Drosophila melanogaster: one gene and its partners. The protein of the gene in region 1 interacts with the protein of each later gene in a pairwise test. Each region holds a gene or a part of one and is shown on either strand. Other genes may lie near its edges.

Region 1 (6,631 bases):
TATATAAAAAACGGAATGTTTCTTCTTATTCAGAAAAATTTTACCTGCCAAGCTGTGCAATCTGTAGATTGCCATATATGTACAAAAGTAAATATTGCAGTTTTATCTGCCAACTCTTCCGTCACCTGACGATGTAAGTGAACTACAATTTAAGAGATATATTTAGGAACTGAGAGGCATATATCATAAGCAGCTTTCTTTGCACTAAAAATAACTTGAAAATATATAAATTCTGTAGCACGAAATTATTCAAATTCCCCATATAATCATTGTTGCTATAATATCACTGGGAATGGCAGTCAAAAACTTTAGAGATATATTGTTTTACAATAAAATAGCCGTAAAAATTGCTAAAGCAATTCTGTAACACGGGATTTTAACGAAAATACTTGGGGTTATGACATACAGCTTATCTTGTGTTATGGTACTTTAAATGAAATAATTTACTTTAACTATATATATAATATCAGCATATTAGCAAAATCAAATTATTTAAAATCTTGTGGCCAGATTTTAAATACCAAAGACTGTTATTTAACTGACATTTAAGCATACATTTTTTTAAAAACTGATGGTATGAAAGCGTATTCATTCTATATAATTTTTTTAACTGTGTAGACAAGCCCCTCAAGCTAAACAAATTCTGCAAAAAGTATTATATACTTTGTGGCGTTTTTTCATATCGATCGACATATATAGCTTTAATTTATTTACTGTTTTATTTGTTGTATAATTTTAAAGCATTTTGTCTAATGTTTATTGTTAATGGATATTTTAAAAACACGTGTTATTAATCGAGGAAAAGGGGCCTTGCTTGGATGAGAAGAGGTCCGAATGGTCGAATCTGGTTGTTGGGTGGAGCATCCTGCTCCTGATCGCCTTCTGAATCGTTATTATTATCCGATTCGGTATTATCATCAGACCCGTTGTTATCTTCCTCATCATCTCCGCTTGATTCATTATCTGACTCCTCCTGATTATCCTCGCTATTTTCATCATCCTGGTTATCCACATTTCCAGAATCTTGACTTTCTTCAACAGCAGGTTCTTCCTCGGCAGCATCGGAGTTTCCCTCGCCATCATTACTGGACGAATCCTCATTGGTGTTATCCTGGATGGAGGACTCCTCATCCTCAGCTGGCCGTGCAGCCACAAGACCAACAGCCAAAAAGGCCACAAGAGCAACGACAATTAGGAATCGCATTTTTTTGTGTTCTTGTGCTCAGCGAAGTTTTAAACTGATTTGAAACTTTACTCGATCAATCGCTTTTTATATTAAATGCCTTTTTTTGTTATTTGAACGAGTCATTTACGAATTTCATATTTGAACAAATGCTTATCCCATTATTGCGTGGTGACGCACAATCTTAATTGATATTATTCTGGGAATTGTCCAGAATTGTTTTGAGTAAGTGGGTTCGTTGTGCTTGCCTCTATTCTGATTAACAGGTATCTAATAGTCGTGGCACTTGACTATAGCGACCTCTGTTTTTATTTTGTCATATTTATTACACACTCGCATGCAATCATTGAATTAAAAAGATAGTGAATGGTTTTTGGCCTTTTTAAAACATTAGATACAAATTTTCTTACCTTCATTACTATTTACTTCGCCTAAAGGATTTTCATTTCCGTCGTGGTAATATGTGCTAATATAAAGCAAAATAAAAAATCTGATATCTCCAAATCGAACTTCAAAACGTTTATTGATTTCATTTAACTTATAAAGACCAAAAAACGTATTTAAAAGTTTTACCCTGAATAAGTTTTATTTTTATTTTCTTTATTGGTGATTTATCAGTTGCTCATTTCATATTTTGTGTTTGAGAAATTGCATCGGGGGAGAATTTCTAAATATTTTTGTATTTTCGAATTTAAGCCGCTGATGTTGTAGAGCACCAGTCAACTGGGGCTTTTGGGTTGACAATAACGATAACTTCTCCACTTGGATGGGGAAGTGGGCTTGCACTCACAAAGGCCATGGCCAAAAGAGCAATTATCACGAGTACCATCAGAAAGTGCATCTCTATTTCGTAGACTTAGTTCTTCTTTGAATAAGTTTTTTCAAAGTACTGCACTTCTTATATATGAATGCCGTGTTTGCTTTAAAATTTCTATTGCAAACTGCACAATGGCTGCACCTTACTAATGTTAAGTAAATATTTGAGAGATAAAACATTTATTGATCTATTGAGCCACACATTACAGGCAGAAAATTATTTCTTTTTCCCTGCGCTGAAATAAGAGTATTAAGAGTGGCTTTGAGGCCAATTAATTAAATAAAAATTGCATTTTTAAGATTTTGTTTAGTATGTAATTCTTTACAAAATCATTTAAGAGCTGTATAAAAAGAAGTTAAGTAAAAAGCACCAATTATGATGGGTGTTTCCAGAAATGTGTGTATTTACTAGAATAACATAAAAACCTTTACTTATTTGGTTGTTGAAGATGAACTGTGTATTTCTGTGTAAACAGTTGTTTAAACGTCTAACGACCGGTGAAAGCGTGTAGATAAAGACAATAAAGAATAGAAAGGGTTAATTCCCATTAGAGCTACTCTTCATCTTGATTGTACTGGATGCTCTCGTCGCTTTCGGAATCATCATTGTTCTGGGAATCGTCCTCCGGGGATTCAGGCTCATCTAAGTCGTCGTCGGACTCGGGTTCATTTGAATCCTCATCGTCTTTCTCATCATCGTTAGCATTATCCTGCTCATCAGCAATTCGTTTGTCCTCCTCGAGGTCCTCCAAGTCGTCAATGTCCACCGGATTTGCGGAAACTGTGGCCAAAAGCACACATCCAAACAGGGCAAGCAGCAAATAGGCACGCATTGTATTGTCAAATTTAGTTTTCAACTAAGTTCAGTTCCACATTGAAAATACGCTTTTATAGCAAAATCTCTAAATTGGCAGAAAAATAAAAGCGCGCATTGTGACAATTTATTTGGTTCGTTTTGTGTTTACCCCGCGACAGCTGTTGCCTTGGTTTGAGCGTCAAAAAATGAGGCAAAGTCGTGCGTAAACATTTGACTGACGGAACTTGGAGAACGTATAAAGATTACAGTGAAACGTGGCTAACGTCATACTTTTATATACAATATATTGTATAACCTAAGGAAAGCAAACACAGCATGTTATAATCCATAGTTAACTTGCTTATGAAAATGTCTATATCAAATTAATGACTCCTTTTTATTTCTTTGTAGAATAACCACTGTTCCACCTACAATTGTTTACAAATTTTGGGAATGGCCCTCCATATTCTTATTTTCTGATTCATAGCACATTAGCTTGTTTTGCTCCGCTTACTCGAAACTTCTTAATATTTACTCACATGTTCGGTGTCGTATTTGTGGTAAGCCAAAAACAATAACTACTTCTAACTAAATATATCGTAGGCCATGATGGAACCTTGACGATTGTTAGCATAATGTAATCATGTCACAATAAATCGATCGATTTGGACAACTTTTTAAAGATATAAAAACAAAGATAAGCTAATTGAAAATCATAGTCTCAGTTGCACTCAGCCTGTATACTTTTGATAATCATGCAATCCATAGCATTTGCTCTTCTGATCTTTGCCGGTATCCTTGCCTATGGCAATGCAGCTCCCCAGATGAATTTGGGTTGGCTGCAGGCCGTCCTGGCAGAGGCTGGTCAAAGGAATACGACGGTTAAGTTTGGAAACAACACGGTGATCATTACGGGAGTGTCCAATTCCGTTGCCAACAGCAACCAGGGAAATACTACCCCATCGTCACCACGTAACCAATGGAACAACAATTGGTATCCGTACTATAACAACGGTTACTATCGCATCATGCCCACCATCAATGGTCAGATTGTCGAGGGTCCACAGTCCAGTGCAGAGGAATCCCACGAGATTTCCCAAGAGTTTTCTCATGAGATTTCCCAGAGTGACGAGGAATCTGGCGAAGATCAATACCACCAGGAGGATCAAACTGAAGAGGACGAAGACGACAACGAAACAGATCTTTCAGAGGACCAGCTTGATGACCTAGAAGAGGATCAGCTCGATAAAGAGAAAGAGTTGGAAGATGGCCATGACCAATCCGAGGAAGACAACGAAAATGAGGATGAACTGATCGATCCCGAGGAAGATGCTATTGACCAGGTTCTAGATGACATCGAAAAAGAGATAGCCGCTAGGGAAAATGAATAGGCACTGAGCCTTATTGAAAGTTTTCATAAAAAACCACTCCACTACATGTTACATTATTTTCATTTCATATTTTTGGGATCAGTCATTTATAAAAATAAACAGTTTATTAAAAAAATGGATTTTTATTTGAAGCATATTTTTAGACGAACGATATAAAATTCTTTTTAAAATAACGCAAATTTTAAATTTCCATAAATTGTTTAGAATTGAAGAAAACGTAATATGTTTTTCCAATAATTTTCTGTGACAAATTAAATGTTCTTAAAGAAGCCGCAATCATAAAATTTCAGCTTAAGTTGCTTATTTGCGTGGGGCAACTGGAAAAACGTAATGATGTTTAGTTGAATGCACAATCTGTGAAAAAATCTAGGAAAGTGAAAGCAGTTCGTGTTGGAACATCCAGATGCCATTGGAGGGAGCCCAAGGACGAGGACAGCCATTGACGACTTGTGCGCAATTGTAAACAGTTCCTGGAGGCGGTTAAAAGGGAAGAAATGTTGCCAACGAAGGAGTCAACAAGAAGGATAAAGGTAAAAGTGGCAACGGCAGTCAGGTGCTCGTCGAACATAGGCGAATTGCATTATAATGCGGCGCGTGTTAGTAATTTTTAATGCTGACAATGAGATTATAGATTTACCCAGAACGGATAAAGACATTCAATTTCTTTTTTTTTGCATTGGGTTACACTAGGCCATATCTTTTACGATACCAAAAATTGTGAGCGTGGCACCGCCCCTTATATTTAATTTTGTTACCAAAATATCTTTAAGGTAAAACCAAATATTCGGGATCAATTTTTGACCGAGTGAAAAAAGTTTTTGCAATGTTTTTTAATCTGTCCTCATTATCACCAAATACTGAATGAGCTATTGAGATTTTATATATATCCAGTATTGTCTGAGAGGTTTGGTTTTATCTTTTATATGTTAATTGCGCTGTTTTGTTACTTTTACTGCATTGTATTGATTCATTGTATTGTCTTCTCTCTTGTACGTTTACTAGCAGCAGAGCACCAAATCTTAAACATTTCCGCATTAGAGAACCTGAAGTTGCACATTAAGATTACATTCAAAAGAACAAGAATTCAATTACCTACAACACAGTATATATATTATAGTGAAGTTGGGTGCAGTTCATGTTTAAATCTCTAGTTAAACATTAGTTATTGTTTCAGCGAATACACCTAAAAGCGCAATTTACAACATTATTAATTTAAAAGTGATTGTGTTGTTTTTAAACAAGCGATTGTGCGCACGGCACTCCGAACAGCTGTTTTAAACAGCTAATATCTTAACCGTGCGGAATATTTTTTTTTTCTGGTACGCAACACTAAAGTCTAATCTTATAAACTTATTAATCAAAACTTAGTATTACGGACTTTTGCAAAATGGCTTCTTGGCCACAAAAGGATGGTACCTTTTAGCCTATAGTGCGATGGTCGAGAGGGTTTTGGCCATGTTTCCATATCGCCCATTTGCCTACGCCCAACTCAATGCCAATCAATGTCACGCACACAGATGCTCACTCACACGGAGACGGCCACAAGACTCATTCGTAGGGACTTTCACGCACGCATTCCCCTGACAGGCGTCCGTAAGGACTTAATCATAATTTGATTCAAGTTCGACTCGGCCTCGTGCCACTGAAGGAAATTGTAGCATACATTTCAGCGCGCTAAAAATAGACTCCCCAAGAATTTGCTCCCCTGGGGTAGCTTACGAATTTAAGGCCAACCTGACATAATTGGCATACTTTTTCAATTATGTGGCTTTCTTACTTAATTGAAGAATTTTCATTGGCCTCGATAAGATTTAGAGGAAACCTAAAAATTCTGCATGAATAATAACAGAAGACTTTTAATTATAAACATATATTTGTCTAAGCAATAGAATAGAATTCTATAAGGATGGCTACATAATTTATGTTAAATTCATGTAAAATAATTGTGTATAAAATAATTCCAATGATATTGGTATTTAATGGATTAATTAACAACTATATTTTGGACAAGTCAATTGTCAAGTATTTATAAACCGAATGTAGTTTGTGTGGAATGATTGCTCTAAATCAACCTTCATTGAAATGCGCCATTCTATATCATTTCAAAGGAATACCTGATGGTAGATCATCTATTGAATTTCAATTGAATAAAGAAAAACCACACAAGCGAACGGAATTCAATATAATTGCGTTTATTGTGCTCGTGCATCATTTAATTAAAATGGTAACCTTTTAGTGATCAGCTGCTGAGCCTAAACCGCAAAATGAAACAGAAACAAAGGGAAATAATCCACGGAAAACGCACATTTCCTTTGCTGACTCAGTTATCCGGGCTAGGAGACAATTGCTCCTCCAACTCGAATGGCCTGGTCAACAGTCCGTGCATCACATGTTCATGTCCATTACTCTTGACCCCATGGCAACCCCCATAACCGCCATATCAAC
Region 2 (9,582 bases), on another chromosome or scaffold:
TAATCTCTACGAGAATGTGCACAGTAAGATCTTCACACTCCCGGAAAACTTTCGCATATATCCGGCGCACGACTATAAGTGAGTGGGATCTGGAATGCTATGTGATATCAATCTAATGGCGGTCATTTCCAGAGGTCAAATGGAAAGCAGTGTGTGGGAGGAGAAGCGGTATAACCCCAGACTGACTAAGGATATTGAAGAGTTTGTCAAAATCATGGAAAACCTAAATTTACCATATCCCAAGAAAATAGGTGGGGATGTGAACATATTACTATATGCGTCTTTTACTAAGTTTAATATCTTTTAGATGCCTCGCTGCCCGCCAATCGAGAGTGCGGGGTGTACGATATACCCAAGGAATAATTCCAACCCCTGCAAACACTATATACGCAGCTTATATAATAATGTTTCAAAGAGACTTGTAATCTTTTAAATAAATAATCATAATAATCTTATCACGATCAAGTTATGACAGCCTCATTTTACTCCCTGACTTCTGTGCTTAATAAGATAAACTTAAAAAACTCACTTCTTTGTTCGCCTTCTTTTGTTGCAGACCATTCTCAATCCGAAGGGTTGTGGCAGTGCCGTCAAGTACAGTCTGCACTCGACTGCAGAGACGAACCAGGAGACTGCCAGTACCACGACCACCTCTACCCATTGTTCCACAACTGGAAGAAGGCGCAAGGGTGGCTCCCTGGGCGGTACTCTCTCCTCGCGATCGACGCGCAGCGAATCCAAGGAATTGCGATCGGCTCTTCAGGATCGGGAGGCTGTCATCCAGAATCTGCGTATACAGCTTTGTCTGGGCAAACTGCCACGTCCCACGGGACCACCGCTGGATGAGTCCGAGAAGCCGGCGGCTGAGCAAAAACTAAACAGACTGAAGACGGAGGCGGAGAATAAGCGAATTAAGATCAAGAACCTGAAGAGTGCCCTGGAGAAGCTGGACATCACAGAGTGAGTAGAATGTTTTAATACTATTTAGCTTGAAGATATTTAATACTTACTTTATTTTATCCACAGCAACATAGACATCCGCATCCGTCAAGCCGAATTGGAATACGCACTCGGCAGAGAAGAACTCCAGATGCTCTCGATTGTGGAGGAGGCTCGCGCCTTGCAGGCACGTCTGGAAAAGTCCAAGCCCGAGGCGCAGACCCTCTACAACATCATCAGCTCTGGAGTCTCCCTGAGTCTGCACGCCGTGCATGCCACCTCGGGAAGATGGGCAGTTCAACAGAGGACAGACCAGCCGGGTTTCTACGTAGAATGGGCTTTAGAGGGTGATGGCTTGTACAAGGGCGATCGCATTTTGGAGATCAACGGACGACTGGTAACCGGAAAATCCAAGGAAGAGCTGCAGAAGCAAGTAGGAAACTCTGGCAAGTGTCAGATGGTTGTACTCCGCAAGAAGTCCGTACCTATACCACAAAAGCAACTAGACCAGGAGAAGGAGAACAACATGAGGCTGCAGCATCGCATATCGTACCTGGAAGAGCAGGTGCGAGAACTGCAGACAGTCAAGGAGCATCATCCATCGCAACAGCAGCAGCAGCAGCAGCAGCAACAGCAAAATCCACAGCAAAATCCACAGCAAAATCCACAGCAGACATCCTCCAATCAATCTCAGCATGTGACCAGCATCAGCATATCATCACCTCCATCAACACCGCCCGAGAAACCGTTGATCTTTCAGCGGGGCAACTATATTACCACTTTGGTGGGGGGCAAACCCATCGAGCTGATGGGTGACGACATGGCCTCGACACAAACCCCTCCCGGACATGTAACCAAAACACTGATCAAGGAGAATACCCACATCGATTTGAGAGATCGTCTGTCGCACATGTACTCCATGCCCTCCAAATCGCTGTCCGCCTCGAAGATCTCGATTAATAGCGATTCTGCCTATATGCAGCACCATCGACGTGATAAGGAGCGCCATCGCGATCGCCAGCACCGGGAACGCCCCAGAGATCCTCTCCAGCAACAGCAGCAACTGCATCGCGAACATCTCATGAGCACGCACGCACGCAGTGTAGAGCACCTGAATCATTACAATGGGTAGGTTATTCGCGATTCTTCGAGATTCTTGTGTAGATGTTCTAGCAAAGACAGGCTTTTTCATAGATTTAAATTTTCCTGACTAATCTCCCCGATCTTCTTCGCCATTCCAGACTGGATCGTCGCCGAGACACGCCCCGACAAAGTGAGTCGAACACACTTCGAGCCCGCCTGCCCAGCGATATGAGGAGTGTAAAATCCCTGGATTTCGATAGCGAAAACGAATCGAAGCCTGCGACTGAGACGCGTACCACTAGACCCACTCCGCCCAAGAAACCCCTCCGGCTATCGCTGCAACGAGCCCAAAGTCTGCAGACCGTGGAGCTGCACCCCTGTGCGGATATCGAACGAAAGCGGCCCATGAAGAGGGTCCACCACAACAACAACAACAACAACAAAGGTGGAGAATCACCGACTGGAGAGGGCCAGACCATGCTCATCGAGAACTGCAGTCCCATGCACACGGCTTCCCTCGGCAGGCACAAGCTCATCTAGAAACCCGATCCCAATCCAACCAAAACTAATTGTTAATCGAAGTAGCTTAATCCTCGACCGATCCTAACCGGCGGTTAAACCCAAAAAACAGGCGGACATGTGCAAAATTACAGTAGGCAATATAATTTTAACCAGCTCCCAAGTGGAAAGTTTCTTATTATGTAGTAGCAGTAGTATGTACTTACATTCTATATCTTGTATAAGTAGGGCTTGGCTATCAACATTTAGTATTGAGAGAATCAATAATTAAGAGTTTTTGTATGTACGATGATTTTATTAGCACAATTTACAAATGTGAATACACGAATATTTTCACCTACTTAAATGCGTTATTTATTTAAAAAATTCGATCCCGGCCTGCTATAAATGTGATGTAACTACAATTTCATGGCATCGGTTGGCATATCAGAAGCTATTACCTGGCAACTCATTTTCAAAGAATTTGTAGCAGTAGTTCTTCAAATTGCTTCGCCGTATCTGGAAAGCATGCCAATATTTACGACCTCCATTGTAGGCACGAGCCTGGCACATATTTTATGACGCCACAGTGATAAGGTATTCAAATGAAAAGCACGTTAGCGTGTTTCAGCTGCGCTTTTAGTAAGTTCAAAGAATTACTTAATAGCTATAATTTGGATATAATTAAAAAAAAGGCCGTTAATAGGATAATAAATATATCATCAGAGCTGGACAAAAGAATCTGATCAATCTGCAGTTGATAAAAAAAACTCAACGAGGGAGATAGAGCGATAGAGCGGTGAAGTAAGCCCGAGATAAACCTGAGAGCGGAACTCTCGCCTACGCGATCGTGCTGACCGCCAAATGCAATATCCGCCGCTCCACCTGGTGGCGCTCTCAATTCTCAATTCTGCGGTCTTCTTGCTCTCGCCAAATCTGCCCCAATGTTCTCTCAGCGAGTCGATTTGCGATGGCAATGCCAGAGGCTCGAAACAGTTCCGTCGCAGGTTTCCAACGGTACAGAGGTGCAATCGCTTAATTCTCGCAAAAAACAATCAGTACCCAATTATAAAATAGTTGCTAACAAGGTGAGTTTGCAACGGACGCGAAAAAAAAGAAGATCAAGGGCTAGTAATCGAGAATATTGGGTGAAGGTTAAGCTGAAGTTGAAGTTACTTGAGTTAATTGTAATTGTTAATTGTTCATAATTTATTGGTTTGCTTACATTTTAGAACCTGATTTAGATATATTACCCACAATTGCGTGTTACCAAAAAGAAACCAGTTACCGCAAAAACGGAGTTTACTTCACTGATTTTTGATTCTCTCATTCACTGTCCGCTCACCCTTGAGTGGGTTAAGGTAACCAGTTATTAATCCAGAAAAATGAGTGGGCAAAAATGCAGCACAGACCAGACACAAAATATTGTACATATCCATTACAATCCACACATTCCACGGCTTAAAACTTCAATAAACATTTAAATTCCCAATCGTGAACAGTTGGTTGAACAAGTGTTTACGATATTCTATCTTTTCATATATGTAAAATTATGGCTTGTTCTTATCTCAAAACTGCATAGCTTCGGCGTTTAAATTAGACGCGAAGTCTCTGTGTGTGAAATCAAGTAATCTTGGCTGTATTGTTTGCAAATTCACGAAGAGAGCCCTGCGATCAAATTGTTCAGATAAGCATCTTCATTAGCATATCGTTTCACGGTAAAACTCAAACTGAGTTATTATTTTCAAATCAATCATATTTAATCAGCAAGCAAGAGCCCTAATAAACCTTATTTGATGGACAAGCAGTGGCTATTAGTTGCAATTTGTGACCCATTTCGTGACAGTTTGAACCAGAATAAGTAAATACCTGGCAAAAAACAGATTAAAATACTTATACGTAATGACAATGGCATTTTTAGTTCCGAAATTCAGTCGCTCTACGAGCGTGAGAATCGTAAATTATGGGACCGATTCCAAGTGCAGATAAGGATACGTGTGTAGAGCAGGTACTGACCGCGTTTGAAGATCGTTTCAGAACTCGAGCGTGCAAGATCGCCAGCATATCGCAGACACATTGATAAGACCGTAAGGAAACCGGACCCATAAACAAATATTGCCCCGATAAAGTGTGACACCCATCCATTTCATTTGTGGAACTTTGGAAGCGAAGTGCGTACGAAAAAGAGATTGTTGATTGACCTTCCCGCAGCCGCACTTAACCCTGTGAAAAAGGCTGTTTGCATTTAGTTTCGTTTGGGTATCGCTCATTATTCACACACATAAATAATAATACCCGTTCGCACATCATATATGACCCACAAATCGTTTCATAAATTGAGGCTAGGCGCTTCAATTCCGCACACAACTGTCCGTTTAAATGGAATCAAGAGAATGTACACCTGATGACGTCCAAGCCAGAGATGAGCTGGAATTCAAGTGCCAGAGATGAGTTGGCATCACGGAATTTGAGATTACAAGACATAAACCCTCCTAGCATTTCCCAAAACTGAAAGTATTTGGTTCCAAATCATTTAAAGCTTTACTATAAAGCATTATATAAATAGTTTTGGAAGATGTTTTTAATATTGAGTCCATATCAATTATCGAAATTTCAGGATTATCATTTAGTTCATTTTTAGCTATGTCCAGTAGATCATCCCTGGTGGGATTTTCTCTGCTTGTGCCACTCAATTTAAAATTATTTATTTATAGACATTTAAACATTTCTAACATTTGCTATCCGAGTCGTACACGTGTCTAATTTAACTATGATTTCCTTGCAGTTCAAAATGATGCAATATCTTGTTGTTAGCCTGGCACTCTGTGCCACAATTTGCTCTGCTGCGCAGACGGTAAGATATATAATCTCGTTAATTTGAAAATCCACTTATAATTAGGACACTGAACTTACTTTGCAGCGCAATATGCCCATTCAAGCCATTGCCTATCTGATTGGACCCGTGCAATCGGATAATACCCAGGTCAAGGGCAACGTGACCTTTACGCAGAACGACTGTGGCCAGAATGTCCATGTGCGCGTCCAGCTGGAGGGATTGAAGGAGGGCAAGCACGGCTTCCACATTCACGAGAAGGGAGATCTGACCAATGGATGCATCAGCATGGGTGCTCACTATAACCCCGATAAGGTAGATGCGGGATTCTTTATAGGATTAGGTGTCTAAATCACTAATATAACTTTTATGTCTCAGGTTGATCACGGTGGCCCCGATCACGAGGTGCGTCATGTTGGCGATCTGGGCAACCTGGAGGCCAACTCCACGGGCATTATCGACGTTACATACACGGATCAGGTGATCACCTTAACTGGCAAGCTGGGGATCATTGGCAGGGGAGTTGTTGTCCACGAATTGGAGGATGATCTCGGTCTGGGCAACCACACGGATTCCAAGAAGACCGGCAATGCAGGCGGCCGCATTGGTAAGTAGTCAGTGTAAAATAATAAAATAATAATAATAATAAAATATTTGTTTTAAACCTTCTTTCAGCCTGTGGTGTTATTGGCATCAAGTAAATATCCCTTCCAACGTGTCAGCCAAATCAATATGCTGCTCGAATACTTTATGTGTAGTTGTGTAACTCCAGGCGTAGTAACTAATGAAATGTTTTCCCAATTTTCCCAATTCCCCCACCCACAATCACACTCACCCTTACATGTTTGGCTTACACATTTCCCTCAATTAATTGTCTCAGTTCACTGACTCACTCGATTTGCCGTGTGTGTGTTTGTGTGTAATAAAATCAACAAAAATTAACCGAAATCTAAGCTAAACATTAGCATACTCTGTACCACTTGTGTTCTACCACCTCATATTCATGGCCTAAACAAACTTTCGCGCTTTGCTGGGGTTGCTTTTCCGAGTGGGTAGGTATGACAGAGAGCCTTTTTACCTATCATTTTTACTAACATCATTAGCATTAGTCGGTCGGTCGGTCGGTCGGTCGGTCGGTCGGCGAAGAGAAGGGGATATTGGAATAACAACTGCCGCTGGAATCGGAACTTTACTGATCCAACCAGGGTTCAATCAAAAAACTCACATTGTATGTTTTCCAGTGGCCCATCTGTACCTGCACCTGCACCACCAACACCACGCCATCAGCCACTGTACTATGTGCCCCATGGGGAGCCACAAGATCATGTTGTCTATCCACTCCAGCACTATCCTTTGCCATACCCACACCCATATCCATATCCGCACCCATACCCCTATCCGTATCCGTTGTCGCACCAATTGTATCTGTGAGATCGCGAGACTACACCGTTCGCCTGTTCCACCTTCTAATTGCAGCTCGGATGTGGACGAGTGGCCATGTCGCGATGGTGGCGCCGGCGCCCTGCGCTACTCCTTCTCCATCCTGACCGTCATCGTGGCCCTCATCATGGCCCGCAGCCTTGACTAATCCGAAACATGCACCCGGATCGGATCGAATGCACGCATGTGGCATGGGATTGTTGGCCATCGTAGTGATCTGCATACCTACTTACACACTAACCACACAACCATGAGTCGCACACCACTACCAACAGTAATTATAATACTCCAGCATTATCCACCCAAATAGAGAAATCAAAGGAACTAACTAAGCTACTTGTAAAGTGTTTGAATTGATCGATAATAAAGTTTGTTATTTGTATTTCGGGTGCTTGCAATTTGTACGTGCTTAGATAGTAACAAAAGTTGCTGAAAATGAACGACAGATAAGGGTTAGCTCTAATTTTATAAAAAAGATTAGACAAAGTGTTTCCAATGGACTGTTAGAATTGCACATAAATCACAGTAGTAGTAAGTTATCAAGAGAATTAAATATAACTTCAATTTTGTATGTTGATTTCTAAGGACAAATAGCTGTTTGTTCCCTAAAATAGGTTACCAAATAAATGAACACTCAAAAAGTTGGTAGGAAAACTATATATAGAACTTCGACGTCACCAAAGCTTTTCCTACCCATACACCTTTATGTGGCTGCGAATGGGTCATATAACATTTAGTTGCCTTTGATTTGCTGAATTCCAGCTTAGAGCCACAATTTGCTTTAAATTGCGGAAGCCTTCAGAAAATATTTGTGCTCCAATCATTCAGAGAACTCCAATTCCCAGGGATTTTGATTCCAAGCCGCCGCAACTAATGGTCAAGCAACAGTTTTTGCTTTTATTTTTTCTAGATTTCTTCGACCAGATAGGCTCAGCCAGAGAATGGGTCAAACAGTGGGATTCTAGAAAACCTAGGGCCATAATTCCCGACACGCAACACTAACATCATCCGAAAGACTGTGGCATACTTCTGGGCGTCTTTAATTATTTCGCACAGTCCTCAGAGAAAGAGAAAGCATTTACAACTTTCTTTGCCGCGCACGAAAGCACGCAATTAATTTCGCCTTGGGCCCGGTCGAGTTCCAAGTGCTAAGTGCCGAACTTTAAAGGGAAACACATAGACGTGGGCGCACAGCTAAATTTTTATGGTAATAAGTGCAATGACCCACCCGGAATCCAGCTGGAGATGGCGAATGGAGCCGTGAGTGAGGCAAGTGAGGTAAGCCCCGGGCGACCCACAAAACGCAACCAATCGCCTCGCCTCGCCTCGCTGCTTTGGTCAAAGTTCTTTGGTATCGAATGCTAAATCAACAGTGAAATAAGCCAGCACGGAGTTCCAGCCCCTATAGTCCATATAGTCCGTCATAGGCCCATGCCCGATCCCTATTCCGATTCCAGCCTAATCATGCCTGGCCTAAATTCGAATCGGGCCTCCAAGACTTTCACTCGCTTTCGCTTTTGTTCCGCCGCTACCCATTGCTAGCCGTACCCCAACCGCAATCCGGATCCGTTGCCACCACCAACCCGGCAAGTGGCAAGTGGCCACAACAGAACCGGGCCCTTCTAAAGCCCAGCCGGACCGTCGCTCCGGTCAGTTCGCGGTTAAACTCCAGTGCGGTCAGTCGATTTGGGCCATCGCTCTGGATCACTAAGTCATATCACGCACCAAAGCGATTCTGTATTTGAATTGATCTAAAGTTGAAATAACTTGAATTAGTGCTTCGCCCCAAAAGGAATCTCAAAATGCGTTCTTGCGGTCCGAGTTTAATTAAATATGTCTTATTCGCATTTAATGTGCTGTTTGCGGTAAGTGCAAGTGATATGATATATGAGTAAAATATCTAAAGGATACTGAGAATATTATGCTAAATACAATACATTGCATCATACTGCAAATCACTTTGTTTCTAACAAATCATATGCCAATCAAATTGACTTATTGATATTAATTTCAAAAAAGAATCATAAAATTTTATGAAATGACATAACTATTTTCTGGGAATTTTCGAGGTGCAAACTGTTACTGCAATTATGAAAACGGATTGAACCGTCCAAACGTAACATTCTACCAGATTTATTTTTGCTCGTAATTAGTTCTAATTCGCCATAAGCACTATAATTACGCTTGTGCTTGGAGTCTTGTTCGCCTGCCTCATTTAGATAAGTATCGCTGGAAAATGGCACTCTCACTCACGGAAAATCGGATAATCGGATAATGTTCAAACGCGATGGCCTGTAACGACATGCGAGTGATGTATGCGTGCTCCAAAGGACATGGACATCGGGTGTCCTTCGCATTGACCAACTGCGCAAGCAGTTGACTTTCAATGACGGCACGGACTTGAACATGGAAATGCCATTGACTAAGTCGTGGGCGATTTTTATCGTTCAATTAGAATAGGGAATGTAAATATAAATGCCTGCCATAGCAAATTAGGACATGATTGGAAGCCATTAACTAAATTGCTTAACGGTTCTATTGGAGGTCGATTCGATTAATCGAAGGTACTAAAATTTCTTACAGATCTCCGGCCTGGGAATTCTTATTGCTGGTGCCGTTGTCCTGGCCGATGTGAATGAATTCAATCACTTTGTCGAAGGTCGAGTCCTTGCACCGCCAATTGTCCTCATAGTCACGGGCCTGATCATATTCCTGATAGCTTCGCTGGGCTGTTTCGGAGCGATCAAGGAGTCTCCAACGCTTCTAATTACTGTAAGTTTTCTAGAGAA
Region 3 (6,671 bases), 9.0 Mb from region 1:
AGATTGAGATCTACTCTCTTACCGTTTAATGAATCAGATTTCATAATAACTCTTATAGACTAACTTAATACACTTCTGGCTTTTGATATCGCCAAAGTGGGTACTTTATGATCGGTGACGAAATCGGGGCCTTGGATTGTAAAACCCCACAGCCATTCAACTCCAGGAAAATTATCAATGGCCTTTCATGTGTCGAAATGCAGGCGAAGGTGTGCAGTAAATTAAACAAATAATAAACTAAGCGTTGATAAAACGACAGTCAATAAATACAGAGACCCCGACCCAGACATTCTGGCCAATGTTGGGGGCTAAGACTGAAATCGTGCAATTGAGGACCCGGGAAAATGGGGGGTTCGAAAGCAATTAAGGAAACTGCAGTATGCCAAAGGGAGACGAAGGCCTAGCCTAAGCAACATAATCGCCAAAACGTGCGGCAATTACACGGTAGCTGGAGGAATTGAATGCCAAACATCTGCTGCTCCTCCCGTCTCCGTATAATTTGCACTCGGCCCAAGCAAATTCAATTAACAAACGATGCGGACACGTGCCGCATCCAAGTCGATGACGCAATGTCGATGCCACAATCGCTGACTATAAAAACACCAGCAAATACAACAACAAGCCCAGTACTTCACGTGAAGAGCCCACTCAGACCTGAACTTGGACTAACTCATTACGAGGAACATCAGCTATATATATAATATATGTAAATAAAAAGGCAATTCATTCATAAATTTCATTCAACATAATGAATAGAGTTTCCTATTCACATATTTAAGGGGGGGGGGGGGGCGGGGGGTATTCTATGAATTTGGTCAGAAAAAGGAAATATTACATTTAAAAGATATAGTATAGAATGCAATAACAGGTATTCCCCATATTATTTTTTCAATTCCGTAGTGATAAAATGGCGCAATACCAGGCTACAAGTGCTTTCTTCCTGCTACTTCTATCATCCACACTAGTTAAATCAAGTGAGCCTTGGCTAGATACTTTTGAGCACCCCAAAGAGGAGACACCGGACGATGACGATGCAATCATGGAAAGACGTTGGCAGCTTGGCTACGAAAACTTTCGACTTCGCTGCGAAAAATTCGAGATGGAAGGTAATCAAACCGCTGCTGTGAGAACTCGAATAGCTGGAGGAGAATTGGCCACGCGCGGCATGTTTCCCTATCAAGTGGGTCTGGTGATTCAGCTGAGTGGCGCAGATCTGGTCAAGTGCGGTGGTTCCCTTATCACTCTTCAATTTGTTTTGACTGCAGCCCATTGTCTGACCGATGCCATAGCTGCAAAGATATACACGGGCGCCACCGTATTTGCCGATGTAGAAGACTCCGTGGAGGAGTTACAAGTCACGCATAGAGATTTCATTATTTATCCTGATTACTTGGGATTTGGAGGATATAGTGACTTGGCTTTAATACGACTGCCAAGAAAAGTCAGAACTTCAGAACAAGTGCAACCCATTGAGTTGGCTGGGGAGTTCATGCATCAAAACTTTCTGGTAGGCAAAGTGGTGACCCTATCTGGCTGGGGTTACTTGGGAGATTCAACCGACAAACGGACGCGACTCCTCCAGTACTTAGATGCGGAGGTGATCGATCAGGAACGCTGCATCTGCTATTTCCTGCCAGGATTGGTTAGCCAGCGACGTCACCTGTGCACCGATGGAAGCAATGGACGTGGTGCCTGCAATGGCGACTCCGGTGGCCCCGTTGTGTACCACTGGCGCAATGTTAGCTACCTGATTGGGGTCACCTCGTTCGGCAGTGCCGAAGGATGCGAGGTGGGGGGTCCCACTGTCTACACCAGGATAACCGCATATTTGCCATGGATCCGACAGCAAACGGCAATGACCAACTAAATGCAATTAACGCCTAATTGCAGCCCATTAATTGCTAAACAATATAGTCGGCCCAGACAATAAAACCAATTTGAGCAATGAAACCAAAACAGGTTCTTCTGTCGAGAAAGGAAGGTGCAAATGGTCCATTTTATGTGTGGTTGTTTTCTCTTGAATGAAAATTGTTACCGATAAATAACAATAAACATTTCGGCATTGCAGAAGAGCAAGTCAATTTGGGGAGCTCAATAAGGGCACAAAAGAAAAATTACATTGCCATGGAAATTGCTGATGAATCGCCACTGAAATTGAAATCATTGGGTTGAGTGTCCGTTTTTGGTGAGGGCATATTGGGTACAGACCGCAGCGCCTCCTCCCGCTAATCGCCTTCAATTGGCCATCTGAATTGGCTATTAACCGCAGTGATGTGGTCGGTTGAACGCGTCATAAAATCACGCGGCTTTCGCTGATAAAGAAGGCTGCGGTTGCGAAAACAACTGAAATTTGCGTGTTTGTAATCAAAGAGAGAGTCCAGATACGCAATTGTTAGACGGCGGTATGATTTCCTATGAAGTTTAAGCAGTCTTGACCAACTCACGTCCTACTCCTTGACCTTTATCGAAGGTAAACAAACCCAACTAAACTGTGGGCTTACGGCTTCTCACCCTATAGACAGGAGATAAGATAGCACTCGACTACCATGGGAATTATAAGATACGCTGAAGAGCAAAGCAAACCTTTGCCAATTTTGTATCGCAATATATAGTTATGTATATATCGCGTATGTGTAAAACTAATCAAATTAATTAGCAACCCCATGCTAGGCCTTTGGTATCGCAGCGGCTCGATCTGGAAATCCACTCGAAGCCCATAGCCCTGATTAGATCCGTATCGGGATTAATACTCTTGGATTGGGAAAGTAATTTTGGCGACCGTGTGGCTGAAGTTCATTCATTCATATCTTCGGCACAAAATCTCAACAGATAAGGTAGTTCGAACCGACTTTAGTGGTCCTATCTAATCGGGACAGCTCTATTTCTGAATTGCAACCCAATCGCAGACGCGACTTGGCCAGTATAAAAGACCCCAGCTGGTCCTTGGCCAAACAGTTGAGTTCCCTTAACTGAACAAGCAACAATTCCCAAGATGAAGTTCCTGATCATCCTTGCCCTGGCTGTGGCCGCCTCCGCTTTCCCCGAGCCGGAGCTGCGCCATCGCAGCCGCGAGATGCCCGTCGTTGGCGACATTGGAGGTCGCATCACCGGAGGAAGCAACGCCGCCGTCGGCCAGTTCCCCTACCAGGTGGGACTTTCCCTGAAGCTGAGTGCTCTGTCCAGCGCCTGGTGCGGTGGTTCTCTGATCGGCAGCACCTGGGTCCTGACCGCTGCTCACTGTACCGATGGGTGAGTGTCCCTTGAAGGAATGCCGAAAATATCTTGGAACCAATGTCCTAACCAATTGTATGTTTGATTTATCGCAGAGTTCAGTCCGTGACCGTCTACTTGGGCGCCACCGTGCGCACCTCCGCCGAGATCACCCACACCGTGTCCAGCTCCGACATCATCATCCACTCCGGCTGGAACAGCGCTAACCTGCGCAACGACATCTCCCTGATCAAGATCCCCGCCACCTCCTCCAGCAGCAGGATCTCCGCCGTCAAGCTGCCAAGCATCTCCAACTCCTACTCGACCTTCGTCGGTGACGTCGCTGTCGCCTCCGGATGGGGACGCACCAGTGACACCTCCAGTGGTGTGGCTACCAATCTTCAGTATGTCGACCTGACTGTGATCACCAACACCAAGTGCGCCCAAACCTACGGCACCTCGGTCGTGACCGACTCAACCCTCTGCGTGGCCACCACCGACGCCAAGTCCACCTGCAACGGTGACTCCGGCGGTCCTCTGGTCCTCAAGTCGTCCAGCGAGCAGATCGGTCTGACCTCATTCGGTGCCTCTGCCGGTTGCGAGAAGGGCTACCCCGCTGCCTTCACTCGTGTGACCAGCTACCTGGACTGGATCAAGACTAACACTGGCATCTAGGAAGGAGTCAGGAACTACAATTTCGCTTAAAAATAAAAATCATTTCTAAAAAATTCAAAAGTTTTATAGCTCTATAGGGGGAATTTCGGAAACGTAGATCTTCATTTATAAATTTCTTTACTCAATATAGATCAAAAGAGAACTTATGTTCCCAGTTTGAGGGTCGTCGGTTATAGTAACAATCCATATCGTCTTGTACATATGCTTTTGTCTAAAATCAAAAATCATCACAAAACAGACAAATGAAAATGAATGCAGAACCAAGCTGTTACTGGCATTCGGCGAGTAAGTTCTCATTAAAATTCATTAAATTGCCAAGCGACACAATTTTTTTTTTTTTTTATTAATTTTTATTATTTATTGAATCTTCCCTTTGTGTTAAGAGACTAACAATAAGTGTTCAAATCTTAATCTAACTTAATTAACTTTCACTTAGTGATAGTTTTTTTTTTTCATTAATGCCCTAATAAGTTTATTGCTGGGCTGGGAGGTCGTTGCGGTGCAGCCGGCTTTGACTGCATACTCGGATTAGTTTTCTTGCGAGGGGATTTGTATGGGTGGTCAGCTTTTCGTTATACTTCGTTTTTTTCTCAGCTATTACTTCGATTACTAATTTGATTTTTAGGTCTCTGTGTATGTTTTCGTTCCGAAGGTACCACGGCGCTCCAGTGATAATTCTCAGAATTCTTGACTGTGCTCGCTGAATAATGTCTATGTTACTTCTGGATGCGTTGCCCCACAGCTCGGAGCCATAAGTCCAGATAGGTTTTAAGACGGAGTTGTATAGAAGAGCTTTGAACTCCAGACTAAGTGGAGAGCGAGCATTTATGAGCCAGTGGAGGTTCCTTGCTTTAAGTTTAAGATGTTTCGATTTGGCTTCTATATGTTTGCGCCAAGTGAGCCGCCTGTCCAGATGAACTCCCAGATATGTTACCTCGTCGGCTTGTGGAATGCATATGTTATTCAAGACCAGTGGTGGGCATGTTTGTTTGTTTAAGGTAAAGGTAACCTGCTTGCATTTTTGAACATTTATTGAAATTCTCCAGTCGGCAAGCCATCGTTCTACAGATGTTAAGTGTCGGGATAGGAGTGCCGTGGCTTTTATTGGGCATTTCGAGCGACTGAGTATCGCGGTATCATCAGCGAACGTGGAGGTTGTTAGATTGTAGTCTATGGGGAAATCCGCCGTATACAGGGTGTATAAGATTGGACCCAGTACACTGCCTTGCGGCACTCCAGCTTCGATTGCGCAATCGCGTGAAGTGCTTGTATCGCATCTTATTGCAAACACTCTGTTATATAGGTATGACTTCAGTAGCTTATGTGTGTTTTGGGGCAACAGCTTGATTATTTTAAACAAAAGTCCATCGAGCCACACTCTGTCAAATGCCTGCGCGACGTCTAGAAAAATGGCTGTGCAGTATTCTCGATGTTCAAAAGCAGTACGAATTTCTGACGTGATTCGGTTGACCTGTTCGATGGTTCCATGTTTTTCTCTAAAGCCAAATTGATGTGTTGGAAGTGTGTTGTTTATTCTAAGATGAGGGCTAATCCGAAGGAGTAGCATTTTTTCAAACAGCTTTGAAAGACATGTTAGTAAGCTTATCGGTCTATATGATGATGGCTGCGTTTTATCTTTTCCTGGCTTTGGAATCATTACTATGGTCGACTTTTTCCATTTTTGAGGGAAGTATCCAAGCTTGGCGATTGCGTTGAACAACAGGCAGATGTGAAGAATAGCACACTTTGGGAGTTCAATGAGCATTCTTGGAGTTATTAGGTCGTAGCCAGGCGATTTTCTTGGGTTCAGTTGCTCTTTGATAACCTTTGCTAGTTCACATGGTCGGAATTCAAAGGGTTCTTGAGGATCTAGATTGGCTGCTATTAAAGGAGGGAGAATAAATGTGTTGGTAGAGGGGTTTGGTCGGAATACATTTTGTAAATGGTCAGCGAAAGCACTGGCTCGTTCTTCATCACTTCGAAACCAGGTGCCAGAGGGACTTCGTAGTGGCATAATTGGCGCTATTGGAGTCTTTAGGTTTCTGTGAGCTCTCCAAAGAGGGTACTTAGTGCTGGTGGGAGAGAGTTGCTCGATATATGAACGTTGGCTGTTTTTTTTCCTCTTGTTTGAGAGCATTGGTAAGCCTGCGTGTGGCTATCTTAAGCATGTGCTTAGTAATTGGTGATCTATTAGACTGCCAATCCCTTCGTAGGCGTCGTTTATCTAATACCAGCCGCTCGATTTCGCGATTAGTTTTGATGTAGTTTGGTTTTGCATACGTCACTGGCGGGGTTGAAGCCTTTGCAGCCGAAACTAAAATGTTTTCAAGAGTTTCCGTTGACTTGTCTATATCCTCCTTTGTAGATAATGCCGTCGTTAGTTCTATGTGTGAACAGACATACTTTTGATACCTTGGCCAGTTTGTTCTAAAATTTGTGAGTCTATACGGTGGGTCGACGATGTGGGGGCGAGTTAGCATATTTAGAAAAACAGGTGAGTGATCTGATGATAAATCTGCTAGTGCTTCGGCGGTGACCATGTTGCGGGGGACATGTTTAGTAATTGCAAAATCGATCAGGTCTGGGATTTTTCTTGGGTCTGCTGGCCAGTATGTAGGCTTACCCGGGAATAAAAGCTAAAAAGTTCACAAGCAGATGAACAAAAATTCAATGAGGAAAAGTTTTGCTCAAGTGAAAGTTGAAAAGAAAAACGCAGACAATATGTCAACAGTTGAGTTATTGCGTGGCATTTAAAGAAATGACGAAAGTTGTTGCCATATATGCAT
Region 4 (8,426 bases), 110 kb from region 1:
ATATCTAAACGATTTCACCTCCACTGTATTATATTTCAGAAATCGTTTAATATTTCAATATTTAGTTGAAGTAAAAAGTGAAAGTTGATACATATTCAAAATGTTGGATAATCTTTTTTAAAAAATATTTCTCTGAAAGTAAAGCTCAACATTTTCTATGATTTCTTTTAAGTTTTATATTAATGCTTTGAATTGTTGTTCAATAAGTGTATGTATTTTAAATAAATTGGATTTAAAGATTTAAAACTATTTCCAGCACAAATGCTTGTAAATGCCTAAAAATTTGACATGTTCTCAATATTTTATGAATTACTTTATATTCTTTTAAGCGGAAACTCGTTGCCATCATTTTAAATTTGCATATTACATTTACAACCCCTTTGCATCCTCATTAAAGATGTCGATTAAGTGTGAGTCCTATTGTTCGTAATGCGCCCCTAATTATAACACATTGCAATGCAATTAATAGGCGCGACAATTAAAAGTAACGAGCGATGAAAATCAATATGGATGTTCATAAGTGACAAGTAACCGATTTGCATCAATAATGCCAAATGAAGAGCGAACGATTTCGAAACGCTTTCGAAACTTTTGTCGGCAGAAAGGATTTGGCATTCTAAACCAGTAAATATGCTTAAAACGAATGGCCAACTATTTGAAATTGTCCAATGCAGGAGTTCGTGGCCCAGTTAGTACAGACTGAACTAATTTGTCGGAAATGACATTTTTTGGTTATTCAGCCAACGGATGTGGACTTTATGTATGTGAATTTTCACAGCCCATTTATAGCAATTTTCGGGTGGCAAAGCACCAAATTTGATGGCCGATTTGAGTGACAGGAGACCGGAGCACGAGTCGCCGAATATTTTAAGTCTTTGCGCGACGCTTTTCCAAAATGACGCCTGCTAATTTAATTAATTCCCACCTGGCCCGATGGCAGAAAAGTTTAGTCCTGCCGCAGGAAGCAGCTCGCAGCTCTCAGCTCCCAAAAAACCCCCAAACCCAATCGCCCATCAGCAATACACGTAATTGAAACATTCCTTGACCAGCGAAATTATAAAGGAGTCGCCCGAAAAAGGAAAAAACTTACTTCTGCCGCAATTATTTGGCACGTCTCCACTAATTAATTACGCCTTTTGGCTCCACGTCCTTTTTTGGGTGGCTCAGTGGTTCGCTCGGCTGTTCCAAGTTGAAAATGTCCACGTTTAATTAAATATGGCTCGGCTGCGGCGGCTCTATAATTAATTTCGGCACTGCAATTTTGTTTAAAGCAAAGAATGCGGCCCAGGCAAAAAAAAAAAAATATATGTTTGTGCCACGGCGAGCTGAAAACCGAACCGAATTAGAGCAGGACATCTGCACGGATGGATACAGCCTCCCGCGCGGGGATTCCCCCAATCCAATATCAATTTGAAATCTACACGGAGGGAAAATTGCGCCCTTTTAGTTTGATTTAGTATGAGCTAATTAAATTTTCACTTGCATTTCAAAATATAGTTTACAATAAATCTTAAAGCGTCTTATAATTGTTTATTTCATTTAGTTTTTTAATTTACTTCAAAATGTGATAGTGCTATCTATTTATACTATAGATACGTAAGTAAGTACAAAAAGCAAGTTCCTCTTGAATATTATTATGAATAATAGCACTTCCTTGACTATGGGAAGGAAAAAGTGAATTTGAGTTAGCGTGTCAGTAGATTAATATGTACCTAATTGTGTATCTATGTGCCTTGCATTTAAATTTAAATAATGAAGATGGTTTTTTCGCAGTGCGTATTCGAAATCGGAATCAGAGCCTGGGTTGGTGGCCAGGGCATTAAAGTGTCAATATCCATTAGGCAGTCCTGATTGTTTAAGCTGCTTTACGCCAACTTCTCTTCTGGCTTTCTTTACCCATTCTCCGGCTCCGGGTTCCAAGTTTCTTGACACGCTCTCTTCTCGCTCTTTTTTTTTAGCCCGGTTCTTTTGTCTCCGGAGTCTTTTATTGCCGGCAAAGCCGTAGCACAATGACTCCTTCTCCGCTATTTGTTCTGGCTGATGTTGGGCTCATTGTTTCAAATAAGAAATGACGCGAATTGGCTAGAGCGAAATGGTTAGAAATGCAAATTAGCGGGAGATAAGAGTGGGCGTGGTCGAGGGAAATGGCCATGGCAGAAAACCCGAATGCCCTGTGGCCATAAGTTGCGCAAATATAAGAGGATATACTAGGAAAAAGGGCTATGAACTTGTCAGTCGGCGAAGCCAAGGGATAAATATTTTTGAGACATTTTCAAATCCAATTTAAAAGTGACCCATAAAAGGACTAAGAACTTTGTGGCAATTTTTTAGAAAGGATAGATTCAAAAATTGAGTTTATATCTCGAAGTATATGTCACTTTTAAATTTTGCTTAAGGCCTAAATAAAAAAAACTTTATTTGAAAATGTGTAAGGTCAAAGTCAAGCTGTTATATATTAAAAATCCATGGTATCATTGTTTATTATTTATACATACATATTACATATTACATATTCACATATTTACATATTTACATATTTATACATACAGTTACACATTGTTAAAACTGACACTTCCACTTTTTTATGAACTTTCCCAGATCCAAAGCGTGATGCTCTATTCCATACCCTTTCCAATCCATTTACTTTAATTTAGAAAGTAAAAAAAGTGTAAAATTACCGCTGGCTAATCTTTGTCATCTGCTGCCTTGCCTGATTTTACAGATTTCTTGTCCAGGTAATTGCAAAAAAAAAGTGAAGTCGGCGAAAGAAATGACAAAGGAAACTGTAGAGTGGCCAGGAAAATGAGAAAGCATCGGGAACTTGAGCTTAATTGGTAATTACACAAAGTCGCGGTATGTTCTACACCTACATACAATTATTTGTGACCCTACATGGATGCTGGGTTCATGGACCTTCAATCAGTCGGGCGAAAAGCCATTTGGTGATTTATATTTAGGCGAAAACTTTTAACTTTAACCAAAATCCCCGGGGATAAACCACGGTCTTCTATTAGTCCGCTTCTTTGAAAGGGGTTTGTGGGGTGTGGGGGTTGCAACCCCTAAAAGCTAAGCATTAGCTGCGCGGGCTGTCGAAACTTGTGGTTCCTTTCAATTAACCTTTCATCTGTTTAACATGTATTATAAAATTAGACGCGGTCTCCTGGACCACAGCAGCAGCAGTGGGTTAAGGCGTCTGAGTGGGGGGGTGGTGTTATTGCCGATGGTGGGCAATGGCGGCCTAATGTATGCACAACCACAACCCCAAGACATGACAACACTATTAAACATTATTCGTGGCCATGGGAAAGGACGGCCAAGCGGAGGTCCTAATTGTCGCCGGGCCAACGCGGCGTATGCGCAATCAATGGGGTAAAGCTCCGGCTAATGAAGGATGAAATCAAAAAATCGCCTAAGTAAAAGTTAAAGCTTATATAAATGTAAGGCTTGACATTGGATTTTTTTAAATCATTGCTTATAGTCAGTGAGGGTATTTTGTATTCGTTAATAAACAGTAAATGTAAAGTGTGTATCAAAATCAATACCACCAGACGAATCAAATTTTGGGAACTATAAGAGCTAAATTTTAACATTAAATAATCATGCAGTTTCAGCAAAACTTTGCTTAAAATAAAAACATTTTTATAACCTTTATAATTTTAAATTGTATTTTTTTGAAATGTAATAATTGGCATGCATGTTGCTATTGTAATGCAATGTAAGATCTAATCATAAGTTTCTATGTTAATAAGATAAGCACTTAAATAAGCGTTTTATATTGTGTCAATGGCATTTACCTCTTATAAACGGATAAAATAGTTTTAAGATTTCTTGATGTGGCCCATTTATTTTTAAAACTGCATACTTATCTACAATTACTGCATCTCGCCCGATTTTTAACATGTAAAATGCGACATGTAAAGTAAGAGCTGGCATGTAGATACGGATACGATAACAGTCAATCGAACCGAACCACAGCGAACATCTGTTTGGCCGTACCATTGCGGCGTACTGGCAACGCCAATTTCAACACGTCACCTGTCTTGTGCAAAAACGATGTAATATTTATTGTTTACGTCTGCATTTCGTCTGTTTTGTTCCTTTTACGTGTTCACGATGAAGTTCGCCGACGTGCTGCGTCGCCTGGACGCCTATCCCCGCACACTGGATGACTTCAGCGTTCGCACAGTGGGCGGCGCCGCAGGTGGGTGCAGGTGTACAATTGATTGTGGCGTTAAGGAACCCAAACAACCGGCTTTTCTCTGATTTTCAGTTACAATTATCAGTACCAGCATCATAAGCCTACTGATCTTCCTCGAGGTCCTCAACTACATGCAGCCAACCCTAAATGAAGAGCTCTTCGTGGACACCACTCGTGATCACAAGTTGAGAATAAATCTGGACGTGACACTGCATAATCTGGCGTGCAACTACATCTCATTGGACGCAATGGATTCATCTGGCGACACACACTTGAGGGTGGACCACGACGTCTTTAAGCACCGGCTGGATCTCAATGGCGAGCCCCTCAAGGAGACGCCCATCAAGGAAATCGTTGCAGTTTCGCCGCCCAATAAGAATGTCACTTGCGGCAGTTGTTACGGAGCGGAGCACAATGCTACTCAGTAAGATAGTGAACAGCTTCTAAGTTCAACCATTAGTTCCACCTATTTTCGCTGACAAGATTTATCTAAGGAGATATCTGTATCTAGAGCTAATTATAGCAATGGCTTTCTAATCTCCCCCTTTTAATACCAACTACCATCCTATCTAGCTGCTGCAACACGTGCGAGGATGTTCTCGACGCCTACCGGCTGCGCAAATGGACCGTGGCCGTGGACAAGATCGAGCAATGTAAGGGCAAGTACAAACGCAGCGACGAGGACGCCTTCAAGGAGGGCTGTCGCATCCAGGGTCACCTGGAAGTGAATCGAATGGCCGGCAGCTTTCACTTTGCGCCCGGCAAGAGCTTCTCCATCCGCCAGTTCCACATCCATGACTTTCAGTTCAGCAATGTGAAGCTATCGCACACAATCAATCACCTATCGTTCGGCGAGAAGATAGAGTTCGCCAAGACGCATCCCTTGGATGGACTACGAGTCGACGTGGCTGGTGAGTAGTGAACACAAACACGGACTCGTAATTCTGTAACATCTCTATTGCAATAACTTAGCGTAATTTAAACAAGATTGGAGTAGGGCTTAAGGTTGTGGTTGTTTAGTAACTCTAGTCAAATGCCAGCAGGATCAGCAGCGAATCCCCGTGCCGATGGCCATAAAGGTGCCAAAGGTTCCGCCGCCCTGGACCATGGTCTTGCCCACGTTGTTGATCAGCTCCCGCCCGCGTAGTCCGTATCTAAAGTGTATTTCAATGTGGTTCGTTAGTTAGCCGGAGTAATTACATAATTGCCGGCCTCCACTTGCGTCACTTCTTTGGAGGAGCGCTAAGTGGAGCATCCGAGTGCAAAGTCCAACTAACCTGAGCGCCGAGAACCCGCCAAAGACCGCACCGCTGGCCATGCCCACGCAGAATCCGATGATGAAGCCCGTCTTCATCTTATCGAAGCACGTTGGTCCCTGCTGGGAAAATGAGCTCGTAGGCAGAGGCATGCCGCTAAGTCCGTGGTTTTCCTGGTTCACCGGCTCTATATGAGTTGATACCGCTGAGTAGCAAGCTCCGCTGCTCCGACGCACTTATGAATCTCGCAGAAGGTTCGTTTATTTTAGGAATATTCAAAATATTTCTATTTATTTCGGCACCGACTAGTCGAATAATTCGTAAACGTGTGAGTGTGAGCAGCTGAGTGATGGTGTGCGTGAGCTGTCAAATTATAGAAGGGTTGCCACTTTGTTTTTCGCTCGGCTTGCCTCGTTCTAGAGAAAGCCGATAGGGGGCGGTAGCTAAAAAGCGGGTGCTTTAAAATCAATTTATATTCTTTATTTATTAATATTATTAAAAAGCATACTTAAGACTGAAATAAAAAAAAACTAAGTTATTTAAGCACAGGCATCCATTTTAATTTATATTTTACTCCTCGAAGAATTTCTGGGAAACTTCGGAGGTCTGTTGTGTGGGGCATTTTCATTTTTTAAATTGGAAAAAATATACTCATTTGTTCGAATTGTGAAATACCTGTTTTTAGAAGCATGAAGTTTAATTCGTAATTACCTTACCAAATTAAATACATTTATCAACGACAAATGAAGTAAACTAGAAAATCTGCTCTCCTCTTTTTGCAGAAACCAAAAGTGAAATGTTCAATTACTATTTAAAAATTGTTCCCACATTATATATGCGAGGAAACAGCGACGGCGAGCCCATATACACGAATCAATTCTCCGTCACGCGATACCGAAAAGATCTTTCAGATCGCGAGCGCGGAATGCCGGGGATATTCTTCAGCTACGAGCTCTCGCCACTGATGGTGAAATATGCGGAGAGACACAGGTCAGTAAGCCACAAAGCTAATGGTTAATTTTACAAGTTTTATTGGTTGTGTTGTGTATTCCCAGCTCATTTGGCCACTTCGCCACGAATTGCTGTTCCATCATCGGAGGCGTGTTCACGGTGGCCGGCATTCTCGCCGTGCTGCTGAACAACTCGTGGGAGGCCATTCAACGGAAACTGGAAGTCGGCAAGCTCAGCTAACAACAATTCGAATCTCTTATGCAGCTTTACTACGCCTAACTCAATATACATTCGACAAATCTCCAAATAAAAGTGCTTAATTTTATAGAAAATAAGGATAGAGCTGTTCTCTTAAGTGGTCCGCTGTCCCACTGACATGAATCCGGATGTGTTTGAAAAGTATTTGGCATTGGCCTCCGTCTGCGAACGCTCCGCCGCCTGCGGATTCACAATCTCTAGACCTTGCAGTGGCGTAAAGGCCACACTGGATGCCGTTCCGGAGATTTGGCGTTTGACCGTGGTGTTGCCGCCGTACACCTGCTGTTTCTGCAGATTCTTGTGCAACGTTTTGCTAATGCGCACCTTGGTCTTCTCATCCACCTGGGGCAATCGGATGCGGCCGGTGCCAGTTTTGCCGATGGTGCCGCGTGAATAGCCCAGATCTCCTTGGTAGGCATCCTCTTCGATCTGAAAGAAAAGTTCAAAGATTAATACATAACCATTATATTTTTAAGCCAGAAACTTACGTCTCCGAAATTCATGCGGTTCGCTTGCTTGCGGAACTCTGTCAGCGCATATCGTTCCTTCATCTTGCGCACGCGTTTGCCTCCTCGCTTCTTCTTGCTTCCCTCGATGGGTTTGGGCAGCGGCTTTATGAACTTCACCGGCGGCGGCTCCTGCAGCTTGTCCAGCTTCTTTTCCACATCCTCCTTGAAGCGCAGTCCAATCTCCCCGTGGACACTCTCATGACAGGCATCAACACGAGCAGCCAGCACGGACTTGGCGGCCACCAAGCGAGCTGCCTTGCGTCGCAGATCTGGCGCAGTATCCTGCACAATCTGTGAGTAGTACACATAGCCAGTGTGCGGCAACATCTGCGTTTGTGAGAAGCCCGAGAGGGTTTTCTTTTGTGCACCCAACACCTGAACATTGCAGGCCGGCATTTTGGATAATTTGGAAAGGCCACCAGCAATGCCCAAGAGTTTAGCCGCCGTCGATGCTCCAACAATCATGGAAAGATTTGGGGCTATGAAGGTCATGCGACTTTCCACATACTCGTAGATCTTGGACTTGAAGTTATTCAGTTCGATGGCCATTTCGCAGGCCTCGTCGATCTTTGCCTTCTCCGCCGGTGTCAGCATGGTTCTGCGAAAGGGAATGGGATTCAGTGACATGTTATTTTGGGTTACACCGTTCAAATAACTTACCCCTGTGTGGTGGACGCCGTGACTGACACAATCATAATGGTGGCCTGCGTGAGAATAGCCTGCAGCTTCTCGTTATTTTTGACCTGGTCCAGGTCGTTGCCCAGCTCCTTGACCGCCAGCAAGTACTCGATTTCACCCACGATCAGGGAGTCCAATTCGGGGAATCGCTTCTGATACTTCTCCTTGGTGAACTTGTGCACAATGGAGATCTCGTTGTCAATGTCCACAGCTATGGCATTAGCGTCCACGATGAGGCAGTACTCTGGATCGGATTCTACGGATCCCAGCATTTCGGCTGCAGTTCTCTGGCGACTGGCATAGTGCTCGATCTGCTGCAGCGTGTTCTTCAGGCGCTCAGAGTCGCGCAGCTTGCACAGTTCCCGCACCGACTGCACGGTTACATCCACGTCCATCAGATTGGGAGCCGGCTTAGCCAGCTTCTCCGCCAGCAACTGTTTTGTGGGAGGGGAATCATTAGGTCTGATCAACATTTGCTTTGGTTCCTTACGCTCTCGTCCTCTGCACTGGCCATCTCCGAATCCTCCTCCTCCAGCTCATTGTCATTGTCTTCCTCGAGATCGGCTAAAAGCTCAT

What was found.
Region 2: the proteins of EAChm (region 1) and Sod3 interact in a two-hybrid assay, tested with the Drosophila melanogaster proteins (one large-scale study listed by BioGRID).
Region 3: the proteins of EAChm (region 1) and Jon65Aiv interact in a two-hybrid assay, tested with the Drosophila melanogaster proteins (one large-scale study listed by BioGRID).
Region 4: the proteins of EAChm (region 1) and CG7011 interact in a two-hybrid assay, tested with the Drosophila melanogaster proteins (one large-scale study listed by BioGRID).

What each region holds. Positions count from the first base shown.
Region 1 is NT_037436.4:15,051,272-15,057,902, forward strand, and holds EAChm (enhancer of acetyltransferase chameau), read left to right. Parts: upstream 1-3,505; 5' UTR 3,506-3,550; coding exon 3,551-4,186; 3' UTR 4,187-4,294; downstream 4,295-6,631. Other genes in the region: CG13461 (uncharacterized protein), read right to left, coding at 791-1,204; CG43680 (uncharacterized protein), read right to left, coding at 1,875-2,024; CG18649 (uncharacterized protein), read right to left, coding at 2,554-2,832.
Region 2 is NT_033778.4:11,378,041-11,387,622, reverse strand, and holds Sod3 (superoxide dismutase 3), read left to right. Parts: upstream 1-3,508; 5' UTR 3,509-3,608; intron 3,609-4,547; exon of another isoform or gene 4,548-4,691; intron 4,692-5,305; 5' UTR 5,306-5,311; coding exon 5,312-5,374; intron 5,375-5,440; coding exon 5,441-5,668; intron 5,669-5,731; coding exon 5,732-5,960; intron 5,961-6,028; coding exon 6,029-6,050; coding exon of another isoform or gene 6,051-6,054; exon of another isoform or gene 6,055-6,594; coding exon 6,595-6,784; 3' UTR 6,785-6,829; coding exon of another isoform or gene 6,830-6,941; 3' UTR 6,942-7,174; downstream 7,175-9,582. Other genes in the region: CG30022 (uncharacterized protein), read left to right, coding at 1-78, 133-251, 308-363; sprt (sprite), read left to right, coding at 557-960, 1,027-2,067, 2,181-2,562; Tsp47F (tetraspanin 47F), read left to right, coding at 8,596-8,658, 9,377-9,565. UniProt on the Drosophila melanogaster protein: Protects the extracellular space from the toxic effects of reactive oxygen intermediates by converting superoxide radicals into hydrogen peroxide and oxygen.
Region 3 is NT_037436.4:6,036,204-6,042,874, forward strand, and holds Jon65Aiv (jonah 65Aiv), read left to right. Parts: upstream 1-2,951; 5' UTR 2,952-2,992; coding exon 2,993-3,249; intron 3,250-3,326; coding exon 3,327-3,885; 3' UTR 3,886-3,932; downstream 3,933-6,671. Other genes in the region: CG6462 (uncharacterized protein), read left to right, coding at 908-1,867.
Region 4 is NT_037436.4:15,159,183-15,167,608, reverse strand, and holds CG7011 (uncharacterized protein), read left to right. Parts: upstream 1-3,980; 5' UTR 3,981-4,113; coding exon 4,114-4,201; intron 4,202-4,270; coding exon 4,271-4,622; intron 4,623-4,771; coding exon 4,772-5,109; intron 5,110-5,138; exon of another isoform or gene 5,139-5,243; coding exon of another isoform or gene 5,244-5,352; intron 5,353-5,475; coding exon of another isoform or gene 5,476-5,606; exon of another isoform or gene 5,607-5,792; intron 5,793-6,236; coding exon 6,237-6,444; intron 6,445-6,470; exon of another isoform or gene 6,471-6,509; coding exon 6,510-6,645; 3' UTR 6,646-6,733; downstream 6,734-8,426. Other genes in the region: CG6878 (uncharacterized protein), read right to left, coding at 5,244-5,352, 5,476-5,606; Prp31 (Pre-mRNA processing factor 31), read right to left, coding at 6,757-7,092, 7,152-7,770, 7,833-8,284, 8,341-8,426.